Oryzias latipes: one gene and its partners. The protein of the gene in region 5 interacts with the protein of the main gene of each other region in a biochemical or structural test. Links are inferred from orthologs where the notes say so. Each region holds a gene or a part of one and is shown on either strand. Other genes may lie near its edges.

Region 1 (3,923 bases), on a different chromosome or scaffold from region 5:
ATGGGGTTATTTAAGAGGATTAGATTTAGTTCTTCCCTTCACTGTGGAGAGAAACTGAGCTGCACAGATGTGAAAGAGTGTAAAATGTATCTATGACCCCATTGGTCTGTCACCCACCCTTTGAAGTTGATAATAAAAAGCAGCAACTTAATTTGGTTCATTCTGTAATTTTTCTAAATAAAAGCAATGTTTTCAACTTCAAGGAAAGTGGCAGAGTTGTTTTCATATCTCCTACCTGGGATGTGCTTGGCCCACCCGATGTTGACCACCAGCTCTCTGTCCGCCAGGTCACACAGCGTAGTCAGGGCCTTGATGTCGCTGTCTGGTACTGTTGGGTCAGGCATGGCATAAATCTTCTCTGGCTCAGCCACCAGCAGGTGAGAGACAATTTTGTTATCTGCAAGGCAGCCAAAGGCAACTGACATGAACACCAGACAAGGAGAAAGACAAGAGACAGAGAGATGGTGAATACGTTGCCTGTTTGAGCTACAAGCTGCACCACAAGTCTGGTGTTAACCTGTGAGTGGTCATAAACAAAACTTTGTTACACACACATTTAATGTTAGTTCTCACAGTCAAGAAACAGCACACCAAGAACAAGAAACTAGAAAAGTGTGAGAATACTGAGGAAGTATTGTTCAAGCACACATTAAACTAAGAAAGAACGATTTTTCTCCATCTTTCTTCAAAGGGTTGATTGAAGAACCTTTAAACCCACATTTAAAATTCGCACCAACATTTATTGCTGAAAGTATTTGTTTTCTCAGTGCCTGAAGATGTTAAAACGCTTCGTACAGAAGAGGACGATATGACTGAAAGCTAAACAGCTCAGCTGTTAGTGGTGACATGTGGTGATGAGACCTCTATGGCCCATTAGCAACAGACTGATATCCTGCTTCCAAATTAATCCAAAGACTAATCAAGCATGGGAATGGTTGACGGAGGATAGAAGAGCAAGAGATGAGTAAAGGGCTAAAAAGAAAGAGGGGGAGAGATTAGCCTTGAAAAAAAAATGGAAGAAGACAGACAGGTAGAAATACAGCCATGAGCAGATTGCAAAAGACAGACAGGATGAGTCCAAAGAGCGACAGCCAGATAGAGATAAACAGCAAGAGAGAGTGAAAGAGTTGTGAGGATGAGTTCTGTATTGATCTAACACTGTCCACCACCCCCCACTTCTCTTACATCCACAAGGCTGTGTGGTATACAAATGTTCGTATGTATCCACACACACAGTTCGTTCAGCTCCAGGGTCATTTCAGCCCCATGAATCCAAGTCACACTGCAGTATCTGTGGGTAAATCTTATTTAATGTTTCCCTAATTAGAATCAATGGAAGCCCATTTCCAAACCCTGGGCTATTGTTCTGTTCGCACACAATCAATGTGGATGCTGAGGCTGGGGATTGGGCTCTGTGAGGGTGTCTGAGGGATGCAGAGGAACAGGAAAAGGTTGTGTGTATTGACTGTGTGACAAGAAAATAAGTTCACATGTGTTTATAGTTTTTTATAGTTTTTCGTTGTTGTTTCTTTGCAGACTTATTGTTAGTTATTAAAAAAAAGAAATACGGAAAATACTCACAGATCAAGTATTTAGATTTGTTGTACTTTCCTGAAACAGCAAAAACTTTGCACAGCTGGACAATCAAGTTGGGTAAATTGAAAATGATGAAGAAAATTGATCTACAGTGGAATTATTCAGTGAACAATGGTATAAGTGCAAATATTGCCCACACATTCACATTATCCCATAATTTTTAATGATTAGTAGTCGCAGTAAGCTGTTGTGTACCCATTCATGGCTTTGGCCTAAAGCAGAATATGTTCCAGCTTTAAGCAAAATGGGCTTTGGGGACCAGGCTGTTAAACGCTGCTCAATCTTCAGTGCATGTGTGCGTATGTGTTTCGTGTGCGAGCAGACGGTTAGCTAGAGAGCTAACCCTAGTTTGATGTGGTTGCCAGATTGGATTTAATCCGGATTAGGGTTGTGGCTGGTCTGCCTCTCTCCTCTCTCAGTTTGAGAAATGTCCTCGTTTAGGTTTTATTCTACACCCGTTTCTCTGTCATTTGCACATGGTCTCTTCCTCGTTAATTTTTCAATCACTAGACCCATGGCCACAGTTTTATTATTTAGAAAAGACGAAAAAAAAAACAAAATAATGAATCCAGGCAGAGCTAAATGAAAGCCTTTATGGGGAAATATTAAACACATAAAATGTTATGATTCCAAACTGGTAGCAGCAGAAACAAGGAAATAAACATAGTCCCAACAGATGGCCTTCCCAGTAACATGTCTATTTATGTGTGGCTGAGTCTGTGTGTCGGTTAAAATCCTTTTAGTGACCAACTGTCTCCAGTTGGATGGAAACTGATGCTTGTCTGGTAGTGTTAGTGTATGATCTGGGATACAATACTGGATGAGTTTGCACATCAGTCTGTGATCTATATGAGCCTATGAGCCTATGGGTGTGGTGTGTGCGTGTGTGTTCTTACATGGCTTCTTGGGAGGTAAAGCCAGCTGTGGGTTCAGGTAGGGGCTGTTGTCAGCATCTATCCGGCGTTTATATTTTTGTCTTCCACCTCGAACCCTGTCCAGCCGAACTCCTGTAAGAAATCATAGAGGGATGACGTATGAATGGAAAGACAAGTCAGCAAGCATGTTTCAAAAACTTCAGTCTTGGACTTGTTCAGAAACCAAAAAAAAAACCCCATAAAACAAGAAAACTGACCTGAAAGAACAGATCAGATGAGAAAAGTATGAATTCAACAAAAGGAAATAAAGCAGTGTTTTTTTGTTATTGACTTACTTTTATGTTAGATTCATGGTTCCTAAACTCAATCAGCTCCATTGTTTTGCAAAAGCTCTTGCAACAGCTGAGTAAGAAGACTATAACTTTGTCTCTCAGGCTTACGCTTATGCCGTCTCTTGCCCAATCTCCCCCTCTGCCTCATTAATTAATTGACATAAAGGAGTGGTAATTGAATTAGGCCAATCTCTCTAGGGATTGGATGTTACCGTGGTTACCACTTAAAGGTGGATAAGAAAGACAAAGGTGTCATGCACCTTGGATGAGGAGAAGAGAAGAGTGGAGGAGATAGGAGAGGAAAGAAAATGAGAGCATGGCTCCGGGGTACTCAAATGATTCAAACTGCTCTTCGTTCTTTTAGTATACACACCAGTGGTAGGTAGAAAGAAAAGTTTGAGAGCAAAAGGCTGAAACTGATCCTGGGGTTGGAAAAGTGACACTCAGGATGTGGCTTTCAAAATGCAGTGGCGGAGCTACAGAGTAGCATGGGGGGCAGCTGCCACCCCAGCACCCCCCTCCCCCCTACACACAGACACACACTTGACACCCCAATTTTTGAGTCAACACTGAAAAAGACCCCTTTATGCTGACAGAGGCCTTCTCACCTCAAAATGATTTAGCTCAAATGCACACAACATACCATCTGTATTCCTCCACTCCCGGTCAATTGACTTTCAATATATATCTAAGAACCTTTTTCAAACATTAGTTTCTTCTAGGAAAGACCAGAAGCGGCGCACCATCCAGTTCTTGTTTGCAATGTCCATGCTCACTATTTTTTTTCAAACAGCAAAAATCACGTCACCAAATTCACAAAGTGAAAATCTAAGGCTATGTCCGAATTCCTTCACTTCTCACTACATAGTGCACTATATAGTGCGTTCGCCATTTTGTAGTGCTGTCCGAATCTACAATTCCAAAATCGAGTGCCCTAGAAATTTCCCAGAAGTCTCTGCAAAAAACCTTTCCACAAATGCATGATTCTATATCCCAATGTTTTTACTGAGATGGGGGTAAAGCAGAGTGCATGTGAAGCACCGTTTTCTTTTTACACTTACACATGGAGGACATTAAAAAGGAAAAAAAAAAACAATGAAATCAACTGACAGCTTGGCTC
Region 2 (2,837 bases), on a different chromosome or scaffold from region 5:
GAGGGAGGATAAAAACCCGGAGAACCTGAGACGCTGCTTGCTTGAAACTTGATGGAAACTTTTCTAAACTGAGCATCTCTGAAGGGTTCAGTCCTGCTGCAGTTTGGCGTTAGGCCAGATGGTGGCGCACTTTTGAATGTGATCAAGCTCCATTTGAACAAATGGAGAAACTTGTGTTTTTGTCCCCGACAGAGCAAACAAATTTTGTGTTTCCACCCCGACTTTTCTGCACTTATCTGCCCCCTTCACCCGCTTTCATCCTCATTTGTGTGAAGAAACCTGTCTGAAGGTCAAAGTGCTACGCCTGAACGGTGCTTTTTTATGTCAACGAGATGGAAGTCATTTTAACTGGATTTAAATATGATATGGAAAGCTTAAATATCATCACAACCAGCATCTTTACTGTGACGGATTCCTGCAGCTGAACTGTTCTTTCCTTCACCTGTGATGAAAGCGTTCAGCTCAGCGGTCTTTGTGCTTAAAGCACAAATAAAGTAGATTTTTAGAAGTTGTGTTTGTTGTGTTAAAAGTTCTATCTAATCACTGGATGATTGTGGAATAAAGTCTATGACACGTGAGATCTGAGTCCTGCTGTCATTTGATGTCGCCCTCTGGTGGATGAGGAGCAGAGCTGCAGTTTATCCCTCGTGCTATCCTAGGCACTTTAACATTGGGAGTTGGGTCATCTAGACCCACTAGACAGTGCGCTGAACCTTTTTTCTTCAATGATTTGTGATCTTCACTGGTGTCCATGGATTACATGAAATCTTTCCACCTTTATCCACCTTTGTCATGGTAGGGAGAACACGTCAATGTAAGGGTGGGGTCATCTAAGATAACACAAGGGTTATGAGTTTGGAATAAATGAGCATCAGTCCAGAAATAAAAGCTAAAAACATTTATTTAAAAAAAAACAAAACACAAAAACCACATTGAAAAAAACCAGATGAACAAAGTGTTTTCCAAATCCTTAACTGTCCACAACGATCGTCTCTCAGAAATCCTCCAGCCTTAAATTTCAACGTCGCTCTCTTTGTCGTTGTCATGGTCGCCGTCGTAGAATTCATTCGCTGCCTCTTGTCTGAAAGTGCATCGATAAACATTTATGACTCAATCCTGCAGGTGAAACAGGAAGGCCTTTTTTGTCTTCCTACTGACCGGGTGTAGTTCTCCTCAGCTCCCCTCTCGTCTGGGTCGGGGTCGTCTGTGCGTTCGTAGCTCAGCATGTCTGACGGGACGTCGTGGATCTGGACGCTGGGCGCGTGGTTCAACATCTTCAGGTTTTCAAACACGGTCTGACGGATCTGTTCCAGATACTGCACCGACGTTCACGGGTTATTTCAACGGATCCACGTGTGTTAAAGGAAAACTCATTCCCTCCAAAAGATTAAGCTACTGAAACAGGTTGGAATGTCTTTCATTTTTAGGAAGATGATGGCTTTTTCTGGTCTGGATGGTTCAAACTGTTCTACACATGCACACACCTGATTCAGCAGTTCCTAAAATGGCACCTGAGGAAGGGGCGGAGTTACCTGTCTGGAGTTCTGGTTTTCGATCCTGGTGCTGACATCAGGATGCAGCGTGAAGTCTGGGGCAAAGTACTCGAAATATTCTGCCGACATCAGGAGAAAAAGGTTCTCTGGTTACAGGATACAGAAACAGATTTAAACTCTCCTGTACTATTTACTGATCTATCTTTATGTCGGCGTCAAAAAGAAGCTGTTATACTGTTGGCCTAAATAACCTCAGAGACTGTCTGCAAAAAATGTGACATAAAAATGGTCTACTTTGTCTCAATAAAAACAACACTCATCTACTCTGTCATCCACATTTCAATCTGACCAACCTGAAGGCAAAAAGATCACAAAAAGATGAAAATGACATTTTTATCAGCAGTTATTCTTGTCAGAAGCAGAATTTAAGGAATCTGGAGGTGCAGCGATTCTGTTTATTACAGAAAAATCAAACTAGACGACCTGTAGAGCAGATCTATAGAAATACCTGCACTGAACATCCATATGACCACTGTAGGACACGCAACATGGATCTAATCTACTATTTTACTTATCAGTAGTGACCAGTGGGACTAAACTTTGACCACAAATCTAACCTGAAGATCCAAGGATTTTCCAACATGCAGGGGTTGACATAGCCCAGAAATTTGCACTGGCCCAGAGGGCCAGTAGCTTTTGAAACTTACTGGCCCTGACTGAGAGTTACTGGCCCGACATCGTGCACAGCGGGACCCGCCGCTCCGCAGGTGCTTGCAACTTAAGGGGGGTCCGGGGGCATGCCCCCCCGGAAAATTTTAATATGGTGCATTCTGGTGACATCTAGCACTTATTTATACACTTTTTCAATGACTAAAAATAGAGCATATCAAACTTAAATCTGCTCTAGTCTGTTTCAGATGTTTTGAAGAGAGCGCTGCAGTGTAGTAAGTAACACTAGTTCAGAAGTTTTCATGCTGCTTCTAATCACTGCTATTTCACATTTGTTCCTAATCAATAGTTAAGAAGTTTTATTTACTTTTTTGCTCTGACTGCCTTGAGGTTTTGCTTTTTGTTACTGTTGCAAAGTTACATTTACTTTTTAGTTACTTTAGTTACTTAATTAAATTAAATAATTGAAAAATTCAATAAAATTAAATTACTGAGATCATTCAGCTAACTAGAAATACTTACTGCTTACAGTGTTGTAAAGAAAAACAAAATTGAGTACTTTGAAGTTATACTGCATTTGAGTCTGAGATTCAGGTATTTGGAGTCTTTGCTTTTGATTCTTTGACATTCAGCTTAAAGCTTAGTGGATACAGTTTCATCTTCAATGCCTTCATT
Region 3 (4,518 bases), on a different chromosome or scaffold from region 5:
CTCCTCCTCCTCCTCCTGTGCTGCTGCGTTTCCTTCCATCATAATGCACCGTTTTATGCTCCTGACCCTTTACAACCTTGTCTCCATCACCAACGCCTGTCCGCCGTTTGTCACGCCGTAAAATGCGAATGCGGTCCTTGCGCACACCTTAAGGACACATCAAGCTTCATAAAAACAACACTGACGCCCTGGCAGATGTAAACAAACCAAGCCAGACACAAATCCATGCATTTTCATCCGCACACTTAGATGCCCTTATCTGAGAGGCACCAAAACAAACAGGATGTGTAATAATTAGTTGTACTTCTGAGATGTAAATATCTTCAGGGACGTGCTAAAGTTCAAGTTTATCTGCACCCTTGCGGAGTGTGCGTTGCAGAAAAACAAATATTGAGGGCCGCTTTCATGTAGAAAATGGTAAATGATGGGAACAAAAAAGCTGAGGCGGGAAAATCTCTTGTCAGGTGAAGTTAGTGCTCACCGCCTTTCATCATTCCCACTTCGTAACACTTCCTAAGACGACAAGCCTGGCAGCTCTTCCTCCGATTTCTGTCAATAGTGCACTGATTGGTCGCTGGGCACATATAGTCATTGTGACCTGAAATGGAGAAAAATATATTACTTTCAGCCTTCAAGTCCAATGTTCAGTTTAGATTTAGGTTATTTAGTAGCCAGGAACACTGATAAAAGAATCTGGGGAGGAGAAGATGAAAATGTGGCATCTTAGCTTTTCTATTGCCATGGAAACATTTTGTAACCTTCTGACTGATCCTTCATTACACAATTATATCGTGAACATGACTGAACCATCAAGCAGATGGAGCTTTTCTCTTCAACTGTTGTGATCCAAAAACTAACCACAAAGGCTTAAATGTGCGCTCATCAATTCTTTTGATTTAAGACTAGTCATTTCTACGATATCACAATTTATGATGATTATCAAAGTATAATTGAGAATTTTTCAGATCAGACTGATTTGACATTTTTGACAGTTTTCTAAATCCAGAAGACTTTTTAGTGTGGCTTCCTACCCTGGATGCTCCTCTTGAAGAAGGCCTTGCAGCCCTCACAAGACCACACCCCATAGTGGTACCCAGAGGCGTAGTCGCTGCACACGGCGCAGAAACGCGTGTCTTTGGCCATCTCAAACCCCCCAGCCCCGGCTCCGGCGCCTAACTCCCCCAGGCTGCACGTGTCCTCCCGGGAGCCGCACTGGTCCTCCCTGGAGGCTCCCTGGTGGCTGGATCTGCAACAGGTTGTGAATCTTAATCTGACCATTTCTGGTTCTGTGGTGCTAATAAAGGACAGAATTTGCCAAAAGATGATCAAGAACATTCTGACTAAAAATATGAAAGTGCAAAAACAGACTTGTGTTTTCCACCGGAACCAGAAAAACAAAATTCATGTGAGCCTCTGTTGTTCTTACGTATTGTTCCTCTCTCAAGGTCTCTGACAAAGTCCTTAATCTCTGGATTTAGAAAGCAGGACCAAGCTTGATCCTTTACGAAAAGATAAAGTTGTGTGTTTTGTATAAAGTGGAAGATTAAAAGGTTGTGTCATTATGTAATAATGTTTTGTTTATAAAAGCACTTGGAAGACTCAACTTTAAATGTCATTGCCATAAATTGTAAAATATCTAGTTTTCCGCCAAGGCTGCTCCTCATGTGTGACAGTGGGTGAAAAACACCCAAACTCCTTGATTTTTGTAATTAAACAAAGCAAAATAATAATCATTTTTTGGAATTCAGTACTTCCTTTTAACTCAGTCTGCCTAAACAAACAGTTGGATGAATCAGCAGAGGCTGAAACACAGACCTCTCCCCCTCATTTGTCCACTTTCATGACTCATTCGGAGCTAAACTGCCCTCACTTACCTGTAAACGGGCGTGGAAGTGGTTTCCAGATAGTGGTGGCTGGGTGGATGCATAAAGGGACTGAGTCTGGGGCTGGAGGGCACAAACACCAGAGGGCTCGTCGGCCCACTGCCCAGGGACTGCAGACTGCCTTCTGAGGGGGGTCCGTTTGTTTCCAGGGGAGCAGAGTAGTAGCCGGTGCTGGACTGGCTGTAAAGGGGAGTCGTGGCAGGGTTGGGGGCGGCATAGTCGTACGTCCCTTCCAAAAAGTCCACAGCAGCCACCCCTCCAGAACCCCGGCTCTCTTCAGGGTACATGTCACCGAGGGGGTCACGGGGCGAGAGGCGAGGTGGGGAGAGGGTCTCCAGCTCTGAGGAGGCTGGGCTGATCCTGGATCTGAGTGCTGGTCCGAACAGCTGCCTGATCTGCACCGAGCTCTGTCTGAGCAACATCACAGCACAACAGCGGCGATAAGAAGCATGATTTAGACTTGTTCTCCCATTTGCTGGGAGGGGGAGTGGAGTTCTCCTCTCCCTCTCTCTTTTTAGTCTTCCCTTTCTCTCTGTGTGGGGCTCATCTTTCTATTAATGCCTGTCAGACTACTTGGAGGGACCAGAAGATCCTTTTTCCTCGTCTCCCTAAAGCTTCAGCTCACCAAAAATAACGAAAAGGACTCCTCCCAATCTGCTGGTTTTGTCTCTCAGTATTTCCTCCAATATGTTTACACTCAAGTGTGGGAGTCACAAGTGGGAGAGAGAGGAAAAGAAAGGAATGTCAGGGAATAGTTATTCCTAAACTTCCCTGTCTCCTTCCACCTCGTTTGTCTAAAGCAAAGCTTTCCCCGGCTGTCGTGTGGTTTCCAGAAACTACAAACCAACAGAGCGACTCTGAATAATCAGCTTTTATTAGCAGAGGATGCGGCGTTAGTGGTGAGATGGCCAAAACACAACCAAGACTGCACTCAACCTAATTACTGGGTAAATAAAAGCAGGGATGCTTTGAAACAAAAAGGCTTAAAAAAGAAAAAAAAGAAAAGAAGAACTGCAAAATCAAGCATGAGACACCACTCACCTCTTACTCATGAATCATCCTCAGATGTGCTGCGCAACACGGGCTGCTTCCTCTCTGCCTGCCTGACAGGCATCTAGCAGCGAGACGGGCAGCTTCGGTGGAACCAGTGGAAAGGTTTGAAAAAGGATAAACAAATTAAAGATGCAGCCAAATCAATAACCATGGTGTGTTTAAGTGCCAGGTCACCATAACACAGCAAACAAAGCAGGGGGTCAAATCTCAATCTGACAGCCAACAATTACACAATCAATTCCAAATAAGGAAATTAATGGGGATTTTAAATGCAGAAAAAGAGGAAAAAAAGATAATAAACACAAAAAAAAAGGTTTGGTCAAAGGGGAAGTGGCAAAACATTTCCACTAAAGCCAAATTGCTGATGCCATAGATTTCTGGAAAAAAATAGTATTTACACTTTAAAGTTTTTTTTGTGTGTACTTGAATTACTAGGAAAGAAAAATGGACTTGAAATTCTTCCAGGAAAATTAGATTTGAATAATATTAACATAAAAATGGGGGGGGGGGCTAAAATAAAGCTGATTTTATCAAGATATGATCTTCTTATATGTTAGAATAAACATGAGCATGCTCGACTGCTGAAGGGGGGAACAAAAGCCCTCCTCCTCGTTCCTGTCCGGACTCTTTCTTGAACAAACAGCCCAATTTTCAAGACATGTTGGGGTCAAGTGGGAAACAAGTAGTCTTGATGATGATATGGATCATTTTGCATTTTTCCTAGAATAAAATTGATGACAGCAACACCAGGAAACAGCAAAAAATGACTGGTTGGGAAGCAAACGTATCCAGCAAATCACCAAAAATGGCTTTAGCACGCCTCTTAGAATAATTGACCTCATTTTCGTGACGGACCACCTTCACAAAGTACGACAATTATACCCCTCGTTCATTCAGAATTGTAATGCACATGTTGCAGCATTTCCAACTGTTTCGTTTACAGGTTTTTAAAGTCCGACCTGACCTGAATGCAACAGGTCAACATGCGAGAGCAGAAAAATAAAGACAAGATGCCCCACTCTTAGTTTCATCTATTTATTACCTTTTTCATCTGTTCAGGTTTATTACAAGTGTGTGTTTTATTTGAGCGCAGACAGGCGTCAGGATGGACTCCAGATTTTGGCCAGGGAGATTTAAAGCTTTAATCCAAACCATTCAGATTAAAAATCAACACCCAAACCTTCCTCTGATCTTTACTTTGAAATCAAACTTTCAGGCAAATCTGCCTTCATAATAAAAAAAATCCAGCAGCAAGATAAAATCGGAATATGGGTTTAAAAAACTTCAGAAACTTTTCTTTTATTGATCAAATCGGAGCTCCTGTTTGAGCATTTGGCATTACTGAAGTCTTTAGATTCACTTTACTGCAAGTGATCAGACTTGTGTAAATATTTGGAATGTTTTTCGCCATTCTAGATAATGCTGCCATGTTTTCAGTTCTTCTTTGCCAACTTTTAATCTCTAGTTTCCGTGGAGCGGCCCGCTTCCAAAATTTAAAATCTAATCAAGGAAAACGAAATTTGTGCCAATGTTGCAACATTATCTGTCCAAGATTTATTTATGAAAGAATTGAAAAATATTT
Region 4 (3,923 bases), on a different chromosome or scaffold from region 5:
ATTCTGGCTTTTCATTCACCAGTTTCGCCATCTGGAACCACCAAAAAATGGAGACGTCTCATTGGCTGAGCTTTGCACCCCGTCTTTCATTAAAGGCAGATTTTTGTTATGACTCGTATCTTCATCATTTCACTGATGTCTAACAGAAAATGATGTTTTAATCTCCTGTTTTAGTTCATGTGGAGCTCATTTTAGTGTCGTTGTGACTCTAAAAGGAGATTGTTCTAAACATTATTTTAAGTCTTTGTCAGTTTTTTCTCTGTAGATGAAGAAAAAGTTTGTTTTAAAGAAGCATTTAAGCTTTGTGACCGGAACTACTTTTTTAGGTGATATCACTGTGGATTATCATTTTTTAATGCAAACACAGCAGCCAATCAGAATCGAGAATTTATCCAGACGATGGTATAAGACAAAGAGCTTCAGGTCAAAAGTAAGATCAAATGCAGGAAAATGGCGTTCCCTTTGCTTTATAACGGTTCACCTTTTGCAGTCTCGTGGATTTTTTTTTTTTACAGTTTTTACATGTTTTTTTTTACAGTGCAGTGTTTCCATTGGCTAGTGTTAATTAGTCTCCTGTACAGACTTTTTCACTTTTCCAAATCTACATAAATCTTCAATTTTGATCAGATCTCTGTTTTCATTCTAATACCGGCCGTTTGACAGTTTAAACAAGAGAGAAAAGTATGAAAATGTTCATGTCTGTCTGAAAAAAGTGTAATGATAAGTTCAACAGCCTTAAAACATCTAGAATTATTGTAAAAATAAAAACGAATCCATCCGACGGTGGGTTATGTATAGAATGTAACTCCCACGATAAACGAGGGAACACTGAACCGTGAAGGTTTCCTATCCAGGAGAAATCCTGCGGCTGACAGATTCAAACTGTGCGAGTGCGGTTAAACAAAGACAAAATGTTTTTCCTTTGACTGAAGGAGCCGTGTTTTTAACAGAAACCCGCCAGCAGAACCCCCCTGAATCTTCTCTGCAGGGGGCGGGTGGGATTTTGGATCATTACAGCTGCAGTGGTGGAGCGTCTCACCCAGGGTTCATCTCCAGCCAAGCCTCCAGCTGGCTGGACTTGGGGGCGTCGGTTCCCTGTAGGACCTTCCCGGTCTCGGTCTGAATCACTTTGACAGGAAGCTCGCTCATTTGGCTGCTCTCATCAATGGGCTGCAAGACAAGAAAAGGAGGTAAAAAAGAGGAGCCTTCATCTCCAAAGCCCTCCTCCTCCTCTGGTTTTCCCCAACCCCACATTTTAACGCCTGAATCTTAGATCACAGGGAGGCACTGGTCTTCCTAAAAGGTGCCATCATGGCCTCCTCTGGGGCTGAGACGCCGTCTGGAAGGAGAAACGCTGCTTTCCTGACGCTATTTTCAACCCCCCCATGCAGAAAAGAAGCATTAGCAGCACACCTCTCCATCCAGTCCAAAGGCGCTGGTGCCTTCACCGTCTCCGTCCACCTTCTGCACAGACCACACAGACATCAGCAGTTTGATCACATCAAAGATTCACCTTTTTAAGAGCAAGCAAACAAACTTTGATTTAAAAATATGAACGACTGAAAGCTGAGCTTCATAGAAACCAGAGAGCGCGTTGGGGGTTTCCTGACAAAACTAGAGGAAATATATCCAGATGATGTTTTGCTTTTAGTACTGAAAGTCGGGGGCTCTGCTGCAACAAGCGGGGAAAGAATTCAAAGATCTGAACACCAGCAGGGCGTCCACCTGCAACAGAAACATACAGTGAGGGACCAACGTGAGCCTCTTCGTCATACCTTCTTTCTCTTCTTCTTCCTCTTCTTCTCCTTGGCAGCCTGAGCAGCCTTATGCTCGTAAACCAGAGCAGTGAGGTTGGCCACATATTCATCCGTCTGCTGCAGCAGGTAGGCCAGACGCTTGTCTTTCTTCTGATCAATCAGTTTTCTGTACCCCTCCTCATCCTCAGCCTGGAAGAGACAGCAACAGAAGGTCAGAACGGTATCAGGCTGAACCCTCATGAGAAACTCTTTTCGTAATTGTCTTCTATTCCTCTCTTCCTTGTTTGTTTCATGGCTTCTCCTCAGTGGAACAGTTACAGAGCAATAATCTTTGCTTTTCCAGCCTCATTTCCATCACAGACTGAACTTCACGCTGAATGAAAGCTTTCCACAGTGGGCGTGTCTCTTCCAACAGAACATCGCTTTGATCATGGATTCTTTCAAACAAAGATGGCCGCCATGCAAACAAGGTTTCCGTTTCTGACATGGACTGAAGTCCACATGACTCCTCACCATCAGCCTCCTCATCCTCTCCTTCTCGATCCTCTCCGTCTCCTTCTTCTGCTCCCGCTCCGTGTTAGTGTGCCACGTGGCAACGGATCTGGTGATTTTCTGGATTTTGCCGGAAACCGAGCGGTGATACTCTTTGAAGTCCTTGGCATGCTGCAGAATGCTGTTGAGGTATTCCTGAAAGAACACAAAGCGCATCATGAAGGTGACAAACCCAGGAGCTCGTGGCGGCCACGGGCCGGTGCACGCCAGCGTCGATCACCTGGTGTTTCTGCCTGCGCTTCTTCTCCTGCTCCAGCTTCTGCTGCTTCTCCAGCTTCTCCGTCATGCGGGCCTCCCTCAGAGTCTGCCGCTTGCTGCGTCGGTAAGCTTTCGAGTTGAGCGCCGTCTCCAGGGTGGTGTCCCGCCTCATGCACGCCACCACGTCCTGCCTCAGCTTCAGCAAAGCACACCTCAAGTTAAGACTGACTTCAGAATTCTGATTCTACAAGACTTCTTTACCCTGTTTCAGCATCAGCCTGTTTCATAGTTACACTGTTTCAGCGTCAGCCTGTTTCATAGTAACACTGTTTCAGTGTCAGCCTGCTTTAGCGTCAGCGTGTTTCATAGTTAGACTGTTTCAGCATCAGCCTGTTTCATAGTTACACTGTTTCAGCGTCCGCCTGTTTCATAGTAACACTGTTTCAGCGTCAGCCTGTTTCATAGTTTCACTGTTTCAGCGTCAGCCTGTTTCATAGTAACACTGTTTCAGTGTCAGCCTGCTTTAGCGTCAGCGTGTTTCATAGTTAGACTGTTTCAGCATCAGCCTGTTTCATAGTTACACTGTTTCAGCGTCCGCCTGTTTCATAGTAACACTGTTTCAGCGTCAGCCTGTTTTATAGTAACACTGTTTCAGCATCAGCCTGTTTCATAGTTAAACTGTTTCAGCGTCAGCCTGTTTCATAGTAACATTGTTTCAGCGTAAGCCTGTTTCATAGTTACACTGTTTCGGCGTCAGCTTGTTTCATTGTTACACTGTTTCAGTGTCAGCCTGTTTCATAGTAACACTGTTTCAGCGTCATCCTGTTTCATTGTTACACTGTTTCAGCGTCAGCCTGTTTAATAGTTAGACTGATTCAGCATCAGCCTGTTTCATAGTTACACTGTTTCGGCGTCAGCTTGTTTCATTGTTACACTGTTTCAGTGTCAGCCTGTTTCATAGTTACACTCTTTCAGCGTCAGCCTGTTTCATAGTAACACTGTTTCAGCGTCAGCCTGTTTCATTGTTACACTGTTTCAGCGTCAGCCTGTTTCATATTTAAACTGATTCAGCATCAGCCGGTTTCATAGTTACACTGTTTCAGCGTCAGCCTGTTTCATAGTTTCACTGTTTCAGCGTCAGACTGTTTCATAGCTAAACTGTTTCAGCGTCAGCCTGTTTCATAGTAACACTGTTTCAGCGTCAGCCAGTTTCATAGTTTCACTGTTTCAGCGTCAGCCTGTTTCATAGTTACACTGATTCAGCGTCAGCCTGTTTCATTTTTACACTGTTTCAGCGTCAGCCTGTTTAATAGTTAGACTGTTTCAGCATCAGCCTGTTTCATAGTTTCACTGTTTCAGTGTCAGCCTGTTTCATAGTTTCACTGTTTCAGCGTCAGCCTGTTTAGTTACACTGTT
Region 5 (3,751 bases):
TTAGTCTTTACCCTAGTGTTCCTCCTAATTGTCAGTCTCCCTGAGGTCAGTGTTGCAGCAGGCAGGCTTCTTCAGCCCTCAGCGATGAGAAGAACTTGTTGGACTGGTTCTTACAGAAAGGAAATAAAATCCTGGCATTTACTTTAGTCTTTTATTGCAAAGGAAGAAATGGTGCAGAAAACGATCTTCCGAGAACCCGTCCTAAATCTGTTTGGCCAAACAAATATTTATCAGTGAAAGTATAATGCAAAATGCTGCTACATGTATTTGCTCAGGGTCTGTTTTATAATTGCTGGAACAGAATAAACAGTTGTAGTTCAGCTTGAGAAACTACTATAAAAGGCAATCCCTCTCACACAGTCTTGAAGGGATAAGACTTCAATTAAAAAGATGGAAACGCAGGAAAAAAGTGGAGATTTTCCACCACCAGCTCTTTTTTTTTTTTTTTTTTTAAATGTTTTGTTTGTGCTGTGTTACCCCATTTCCCCTGGCTCACTGCCCCCACCATCAGCATTCCTGTTTTACCTGTATATGGTGTCAAGTAAAGAGAGACTGTTTCACAACCATCATACCACAGAATGGATGAATGTGAACAGCTTCTGTGGGGATTTTTGCATGAAGATTGTTAAGACAATACTGCTTTGTTGGCTTGGATTTACCCTTTTCTTCTCAGCGTATCATAAGATTGTAAAATAAGGTTGAAATGGGATCGAGGATCTTTCTTTTTATTTGCTTGTGGATGTGTTTTCCAATAGAGGGAGACAAAGCTTCGGAATGAACAAGAAATATTATTCTGTGACACATTCCTGTCATCATTTTTGAAAAAGAAAGAGCTCTTGTGGATAAATATCCACGTTCACCAACAAGATCCAACTGCAACTAAGAAATTTGTCAATCTGAGTTTAGCAACATCTTGACTCAATAATATGCGTTTAACAGCTGAATTTGTCAGATTAAGTGTGACAGTGGCATTGGCTTGGTGTGAGTCAAGAGCGTGAGGCTGTAATTTGTCATTTGTGTACAAAAATATATTTATTTGAAGTTTCCTGTAAAAGCAAAAGACACATATTTACAACAATGAAATAACAGAAAAGATTGACAAAATCAAATATTCTAATAGAAAGAGACAAGTCTGCCACTGTGTGAAAATCCTTCTACTTAGGGGAAGGAAATCTGTTGACACAGAGATAAAGTGACCTCAGCTTTGCGTGAATGTGAGCAATCATGGTGGCTTGTTCATCAAATCTACATTTTTTTTGTGGGGTTTTATAATCTGCTTCACAGCAGCCGTCCAACATTCCTTTCCCAGCCTGGGTGTCATGTGGTTTAAAGTCCCTCAGCTGAGGTCCACTGTTCTTATCTGTAAAAGAGCATGTCGACCAGCAGCTCCAGCAGGTCAGCCTGGCCTATGACGGGCCGGAAGAAGAGCTCGGTGACGAGGGTGGGTGTGATGCCCTGCAGCATGGAAGCTGTGAGCAGGATTCGAGCGAAGCGCTCCTCGCGACCCGGGTGAAGGAGCTGCACCACCTCCCTCAGGGCGTGCTGAGCTTCCTGCTGCAAGCCCTCCACAAACAATCCAGCCTTTAATTCCGGAACGTCTGTGGACGAGGAAAACGAGTAAAGTCAGTTAACGCACACACACATACTTCATCCTTTTACTGAATCCAGCACCTTCGTACCTGGATTGAATATCGTGGTTCCCTTCAGGTATGCATACTCCTTTGGGCTTAAATCCAAACTCCAAAACTTTTTGAGGCAAGACTTGAGTTTGCTGACGCCTGCCATGGTGGGCTGCTCCCTTTTAGCCTCGGGGCTCTCCTGGCGGTTCAGAAGAATCTTTTTCAGCATGCTGTCAGCGGGGGCATCTGTAACCTCAAAGTCCACATGTTCTTGAGCCAGCCCCAGAATAAAGAGGGGAGCCCAGCAGCTTCTCAACAGCGCAAACTGATCACTCAGTGGCAGCTGGTTGAACGCAGGCAGGCTCTTAATGAAGTGGACGGTTTTAACCAGAACTGCTGAGGCTTCTTTGCAGATCTCACTTGGACTTTTTAAGCACAGTGTCCGGCGCACCTCGCAGTTGCACCTGTGAGGCACTGAGATGTAGTTGAGGCAGTCTTGGCTCTGCATGCTGCTGTCCATTTGGCTCAGGATGTTGTAGAGGATGGGATTCAAAACCCTATCATTGTTGGTTAAGCAATGGCATCTGCTATCCATCTTTTTCCCCCCGATGACATATAATGGTGATGAATGCGTGCGTCCTCTCACAGATAGACTCCTCATGAGCTCCTGAGTGGTGCTGCTGCCTCTTCTATATTTATAGGGCCAACCCCCCTCCGTTCAGTGGACCTTGAAATGTCAATACACTCGATGTGAAAAACAACCGCTCGCTTTGCCAGGTGACTGCTGGAACAACCCTGGGAAACTGATAAGATTTTCTCAATGAAAGTAGCTGCTGGAGTAACACATATCAAAAAGGATGGGCCTTATCTGCCAGCAAGTGTCATTAACCCAGGCTGTACCAAGCTACCAAGGACTGCAGTGGTAATCCAACCCACACTGTGTCACTACACCTGCCAGATCACACCTGTGAAACTGGAACAAGGCCAGGGCACAAAGAGGGCATTGACCCCTGACTTAAATCCTCAAAAGTACAGTGTCATTTCAGTCAGTGGTAAAACTAGACAATATGGGAGAAAATTTTGAGAAAATTCTACGTATTGGCTTTTAAACTAAAAGAGAAATAAAAAAGAAGCTACTCTAAACTATTTTTAAGGGGCCTTCATCATGCTTTTATTGAGCCTTCCAGAGTGAACTATATCCATATATGTGATATATATTCTTTTGGCCCTAAAGAACGTTTTTATTATGAAATATGAGTTATTTTCACAATTCATTTCATACCCGGAAGTAGAATGACTCGATCTCTGAGGCACCGGCTTTCTCTCCTGGTGGGTCCGCCCGTTTCATGATGTCAACTTAGAGTCAGCCACAGCAGCGTGTCTGCGTTTTTCCCTCGAAAACAAACAATATCCGAACTTTTGCAAAGATGAATGTGCATAGAAACAGAATAAGCTAGAGAAAGTGGATGTGTGTTACCCTGGGGTTGGGGCTGCAGCGCAGACTCTGGAAGGGGCTGTTCCTCACTTTGAGACGTCACAATGTGAGGACCCACTCGTTGTTGTGGGTTGGGAGGGGCTGGTGCTCAGAGCACAGGTTTTTAGAGGAATGCTCAGAAATGCATGAATGGATCAAAATACCCCTTTGGGGTTGTTTACAGTGAGGAATGAAAATTACAATACACTTAAAGCTCAAAAAAGTTGATTTTGGATGATATAAGAACCCTTTGAAATTCCACAAATAAAAAGAAACAGACTGGTTAAAAATGACGAACTCTTGACATGAAATTCAACAAAATCTCAAATCACAGTTGCTTTGGGTCAATAGGTTGAATACTTGCCCAACAAACCTTGGACAAATATAGAAGTGCTGTGTCCTGTGAGTCATTTAAGGTTGTGTTTCTAAACCCGGTACTTGGGACACACTGTATTTTTTCAATCTTACCCGGCTCAAACTCAAATGCCTTAGGATAAATTATTTGCTTTTAATCTGGACATAAGTTTTAAAGCAATATTGTTTGAGACTTGTTCTGTAGCTCACTCAAATGAAAACAAGCTGCTGGAACTCCCTTTCTCCATACACTTTGGAATAGTCTATGCATTCAGTCTTGAATGCATAGACTCGAGCTCCAAAC
Region 6 (4,488 bases), on a different chromosome or scaffold from region 5:
TGTCCCAAGGAGTCAGGGCAAAACTATTTTTCAACTTTATTCACTAATTTGATTCATAAAACGCTGTATAAATTTCATGTTCAGTTCAATTTAGTTTGATCAATTCAACCAAGAACATCCCTATTTACCAAAGTGTTTCCAACTTAATCAGACGTTTTCTGTTAGATAGCTCAGCTTTAATTAATGAGTCAAACAGGACAAGGATTATCAACCAAAAAAATAATTTAAAAAAAAAGTCAAAAACAGAATCACGGAAAAAAAAGAAAGCACCTCGGTGATGAAAATGCCCAGGCTATATCCAAATCGCAAAGTCTTGAAATGGTACGGTGTAACTCAGACAGAGCTGTGCTGTCAACAAATGCATGCAAACCTCAGTGAAACAACAAAGCATTGCTGCAGAAAAGTGTGAACCAACACTCCATAACACGCAAAGGAAACTGTTACACACATTTCAATAAAAAATGACTGGCTGTCACTACTAAAATGTTTTTAGGTTTTTCTAGCAAAAACTTTTTATCTCTGAAACGGACTCCGTTTGTTTTGTATTTCAGGCCAAAACCCCAAGAACTAATAAGACAATAATTAAACTGCAATGCTACAATTTAAGCACTGCGTTCTTCAAAAATGTGTTTGTATAACTTAACTATTATGCTAATACAATATCTAATATCTGTAAATCTATTCTGCTAATATTTATTATTCCGATATTGTAAACATATTTACTTGCCATAACTGTACAACAATGTCAGCATTTCGAAACAAATTTGGTCCAAGTGTAAACTGTGTTTACACCTCTTGTTAGAATGCATTTTTCCCACCAGATGTCAATTTAATGCAAAAAGTGCAAGAGAACATTTCTTTGATGTTGCTTTCATTGTGACTCACCTCACATGACAAGTGTTGTGTGATCAAAGAAACAATGTTGATAGACACGTAGGACTATACAGGGTTTACGCTATAGCAACGGTAATATGAGATATCATACTTTAGGCGTGTTTATATTAATTTGTTCGTGGAAGTTGAATTTTTTGTGTTGCATTTCTTTGCGGTTATTAAAATAAAATATTCTTCAAACTGAATCTTAAACTTAAGATGTTAACGTCTGATTATTATGTCAAATATCAACAAAGATTGACTTAAATTTAAGTGGAAATTCTTAGTACCAAAATTATAAAACCTGTTTTAATCCCTTTATACTTAAACTTTAACAGTGAAAACACCAAACATCCATATTTTCCCATTGAAAAGCTGTTTTGAAACACAACTAGTAACAAAAATGTTTTCTCTGTCTGTTTGTGTCTACAGCTTTGATTAATGTCAATGTCTGTGCAAGTCTACTGCCAAAATTTTGCTGTATGTTGACAGTATATGACGAAATGTTTGGACACGAAGTTAATAATTACACCCAATTTAGAGAGAGAAAAAACACGACCTGAAGGCTAAACTTTAAAGGGCTGCGTTTTCTGATAAAACAAAATCAAAGGTTTCTTTAAAAAAAATGCTCTGAATACAAGAATCTCTGAAATCTGGTGAACAAAAGGTGGTTAATTGTTTGTGGGTCAATCTAAAGTGTGCCTTTCTCTTTTATTGAAATGTTTATGTAGAAACAAATGACCTTTTCTTCATTTGAGCTTTTTCTGTAAAGCTTTTTCACACTTTTTCTTCTTAAGAAAACCAAAGCAAAAGCAGAAAACATCTGTGGAAAATTCAAACCAACACAAAGTAAGTATTTTTCAGTAAGAATATTTGTAAAAAGCTAACCCTAACCTTCAACCAAGATAAAATTTAGTCAGCATGTATGTCTTTTAGTAACAGTAAAATGTCTTTGAGAGCACATGAAGGACAAAAATATAATCCAGAACAGTATCTTGAGGCACTCCTTCCATTTACGGTCCAGAGTAAAGTCCAGCTCTTTCTCAGTCATTCACACACACATCTAAACACACTTCACTTTAGGAATTACATAACTTGATAAGTAAATAATTCAATGATGGATGAAAGGATCAACACACTCAGATTCACAGAGACACTCAAAGGTGTCGCTGCAGAGATTTTGAACCGATCTAGTTGCGACGGATCAATTACCAAAGTCCATTTGGAGATGAAATGATCTGAAACTCTGCAGTTGAAGTAATTTGATAAATAAGTAAATAAAGTACAAACATTAAACGGTGACATAACATTAATCTGGTCCATTATGTTGTCATTTCTATTTCTCCACCAAAGATCCATTCATCATGTCAATGTCGACCGCCATCTTTTTCTCACAGAGAGCTAACAGGTTGTGTTTCCTCGGAGTTTATCGACTGCAACAAGAAGGCTGTGTTATAGTATTAGGAGACAATATTTGCTGATGACTGCCACTGACACAAACAAGTACATCACGTTATTTAGGATTTTAAATAAATCCAGATAATAGCAACGTTATTAACTATCAGAAACTCTGAAAATAGTCAAATTGTCTTCACAAAAAACAAAAGTTACAGTTCCAGTGTAGGAAAACAATACTTTCTATTTGCTAAAAGACGTTGAAAATATTTGATCATTTGGATACGATGCGACGAAAAACCCATCTTTGCTCATAACACAAAAAAATGAAAAATTGATGTGTTAGAGCTAAAAAAGCTGGGACCAAAGAGCAGAAAACCCTTAAAGACAAAATCAGCATTTGTCCCTGAGTCTGTTGACCACATATGTGCTGAGTCACGGCCATTATACTCCAAAGCGTTCAAAACTACAGGACAGCTTCAAGGTTGAGTAATACGCGCTGCGTGACACAGGAGGGATGACATAGGTTTATAAACGACACATGAGGAGCCACTGTCATGCATATATGTTTATGTTGAGTGGGAAACTCTCACTGCTGATCACTGCAAAAACAAGAAGAAGAAAAAATAAAATGTCTGCACTCACCTGAGTAGCTGTGACCACTTAGATTGTTGAAATCTCTGCCTGGTGTTTGCATGTCAGACTTCCACTCACACTGTGGCCCACAGACACACTCTGGACCCACACCTTGCTTTGTGTCACTTGTCAGTCCTGTGACCGCACCCCCATCCCCGTCATCACCCCCCCCCCCCCCCAATCTGCACTGGCTTTCCCAACTTTAAAGAAAAAAGTGCCCATCATTACCTCCACCTCTGTCAGATCTCACCATGATTAGGGAATTTATTTATTTTTTAAACTTTATAATTGCTAATAATATTAAATCACGATTAGGGCTGATATTGTCAGATCTATAAAGCAGAAACAAATGATTGATAACCGCGAACAGTCTTGATGATTGATGTTTTTTTTTTAATTACACAAGCCACTGCAGTGCCACAAACAGAAGCAGCTGAACTGACCTGATCAATGCGCCGAACCTCTCCTGACGCTGTGGATCTGTTTGGCTGAGGCGGCGTCGGCACCAGGCGCACAGCAGCGCCGCGTCTGAGCTTGAGTCCGGCGGCGCTCATGCTGCCGCAGGGGGAGGCTGAGGCGGCGGTGCGCCTGCCTCCCTGCTCTCTCCCCTCCCTCCCTCCCTCCGCTCAGCACAGCCAGCCCGCCGGGAACGAGGGGAAGCAGACGAAGGCATCAGATTACTCCTAAAAACTTCAATTTACGCCATTGAAACTTTTCATTGAACCAAACTGTCCTACATCCCACACAGGTAATAGTCATTCATATACCTTTTCCCCCTTTAAAGTTACTAATATTTAGTAGTACACTTAAACAAACTACTGTTTCTAAGGGACGTCATTTGTAGCCATCTAAATATAATTTTGTTGCTTAAAATTACTTTCTTTTATAAAAATGTCTACATGCTTCCTCAAGCATTCAAATGAAACACTTATTGAAGTAATTAGTGTAGTTCACCCTTAGCAAATAGTGTACTGCAAGAATACTAAGTCTATACTGAACTGAGGCAGTACTTACAAAGTTTACTTTTCACATACTATCTTTATATTGTAAAGATAAACTGTTCCAATGTAGTGTGAAGAAATAATCCATTAGTATATTTCATACACTACACTACACATACATGGACTATAAAGTAAACTTGTATACATTATAGTATACATGCTATACTTATACTCAAGTATATTTCAGTTGTTTTACTTTTTACTAAGGTCAGTAGTGCAGCTTTGATGGGATTCAGTCCAAATGTTCCACACCCCTTTAGCAAAAGTATACACTTGAAGTGTATTCTATCAAGTATTGAGTATAAGTATAGAAAGTATACTATAGACCATGTATTTGTAGTGTAGGAAGTATACCAACAGGATCTTTCTTCTGACTAATTTGAATTTTTGATATATATATATATATATATATATATATATATATATATATATATATATATATATATATATATATATATATATATATATATATATATATATATATATATATATATATATATATATATATATATATATATATATATATATATATAGAAAACGTATACTGTCTCACTTTTTGTATAAAGACTAAGTATACAGTACA

Evidence for each region.
Region 1: the proteins of nr0b2 (region 5) and estrogen-related receptor gamma type 1 form a complex in vitro, tested with the Homo sapiens proteins (2 studies listed by BioGRID). The link is inferred for Oryzias latipes from reciprocal best matches to the Homo sapiens genes NR0B2 and ESRRG.
Region 2: the proteins of nr0b2 (region 5) and hdac3 form a complex in vitro, tested with the Homo sapiens proteins (2 studies listed by BioGRID). The link is inferred for Oryzias latipes from reciprocal best matches to the Homo sapiens genes NR0B2 and HDAC3.
Region 3: the proteins of nr0b2 (region 5) and esr1 form a complex in vitro, tested with the Homo sapiens proteins (2 studies listed by BioGRID). The link is inferred for Oryzias latipes from reciprocal best matches to the Homo sapiens genes NR0B2 and ESR1.
Region 4: the proteins of nr0b2 (region 5) and probable global transcription activator SNF2L2 form a complex in vitro, tested with the Homo sapiens proteins (2 studies listed by BioGRID). The link is inferred for Oryzias latipes from reciprocal best matches to the Homo sapiens genes NR0B2 and SMARCA2.
Region 6: the proteins of nr0b2 (region 5) and pparg form a complex in vitro, tested with the Homo sapiens proteins (2 studies listed by BioGRID, with this or other methods). The link is inferred for Oryzias latipes from reciprocal best matches to the Homo sapiens genes NR0B2 and PPARG.

The regions. Positions count from the first base shown.
Region 1 is NC_019861.2:25,270,970-25,274,892, forward strand, and holds part of estrogen-related receptor gamma type 1, read right to left. Parts: intron 2,604-3,923; coding exon 2,493-2,603; intron 419-2,492; coding exon 236-418; intron 1-235. UniProt on the Homo sapiens protein: Orphan receptor that acts as a transcription activator in the absence of bound ligand. Binds specifically to an estrogen response element and activates reporter genes controlled by estrogen response elements.
Region 2 is NC_019868.2:25,317,346-25,320,182, forward strand, and holds the end of hdac3 (histone deacetylase 3), read right to left. Parts: intron 1,613-2,837; coding exon 1,533-1,612; intron 1,317-1,532; coding exon 1,159-1,316; intron 1,082-1,158; coding exon 1,012-1,081; 3' UTR 884-1,011; downstream 1-883. UniProt on the Homo sapiens protein: Histone deacetylase that catalyzes the deacetylation of lysine residues on the N-terminal part of the core histones (H2A, H2B, H3 and H4), and some other non-histone substrates.
Region 3 is NC_019882.2:8,940,977-8,945,494, reverse strand, and holds the start of esr1 (estrogen receptor), read right to left. Parts: upstream 3,040-4,518; 5' UTR 2,936-3,039; coding exon 2,925-2,935; intron 2,295-2,924; coding exon 1,875-2,294; intron 1,247-1,874; coding exon 1,032-1,246; intron 599-1,031; coding exon 482-598; intron 148-481; coding exon 1-147.
Region 4 is NC_019867.2:1,047,352-1,051,274, forward strand, and holds part of probable global transcription activator SNF2L2, read right to left. Parts: intron 2,704-3,923; coding exon 2,530-2,703; intron 2,445-2,529; coding exon 2,271-2,444; intron 1,947-2,270; coding exon 1,776-1,946; intron 1,465-1,775; coding exon 1,414-1,464; intron 1,171-1,413; coding exon 1,040-1,170; intron 1-1,039. UniProt on the Homo sapiens protein: ATPase involved in transcriptional activation and repression of select genes by chromatin remodeling (alteration of DNA-nucleosome topology).
Region 5 is NC_019874.2:9,914,799-9,918,549, reverse strand, and holds nr0b2 (nuclear receptor subfamily 0 group B member 2), read right to left. Parts: upstream 2,283-3,751; 5' UTR 2,281-2,282; coding exon 1,680-2,280; intron 1,599-1,679; coding exon 1,357-1,598; 3' UTR 710-1,356; downstream 1-709. UniProt on the Homo sapiens protein: Transcriptional regulator that acts as a negative regulator of receptor-dependent signaling pathways. Specifically inhibits transactivation of the nuclear receptor with which it interacts.
Region 6 is NC_019863.2:9,244,648-9,249,135, forward strand, and holds the start of pparg (peroxisome proliferator-activated receptor gamma), read right to left. Parts: upstream 3,035-4,488; 5' UTR 2,966-3,034; coding exon 2,914-2,965; intron 1-2,913. UniProt on the Homo sapiens protein: Nuclear receptor that binds peroxisome proliferators such as hypolipidemic drugs and fatty acids.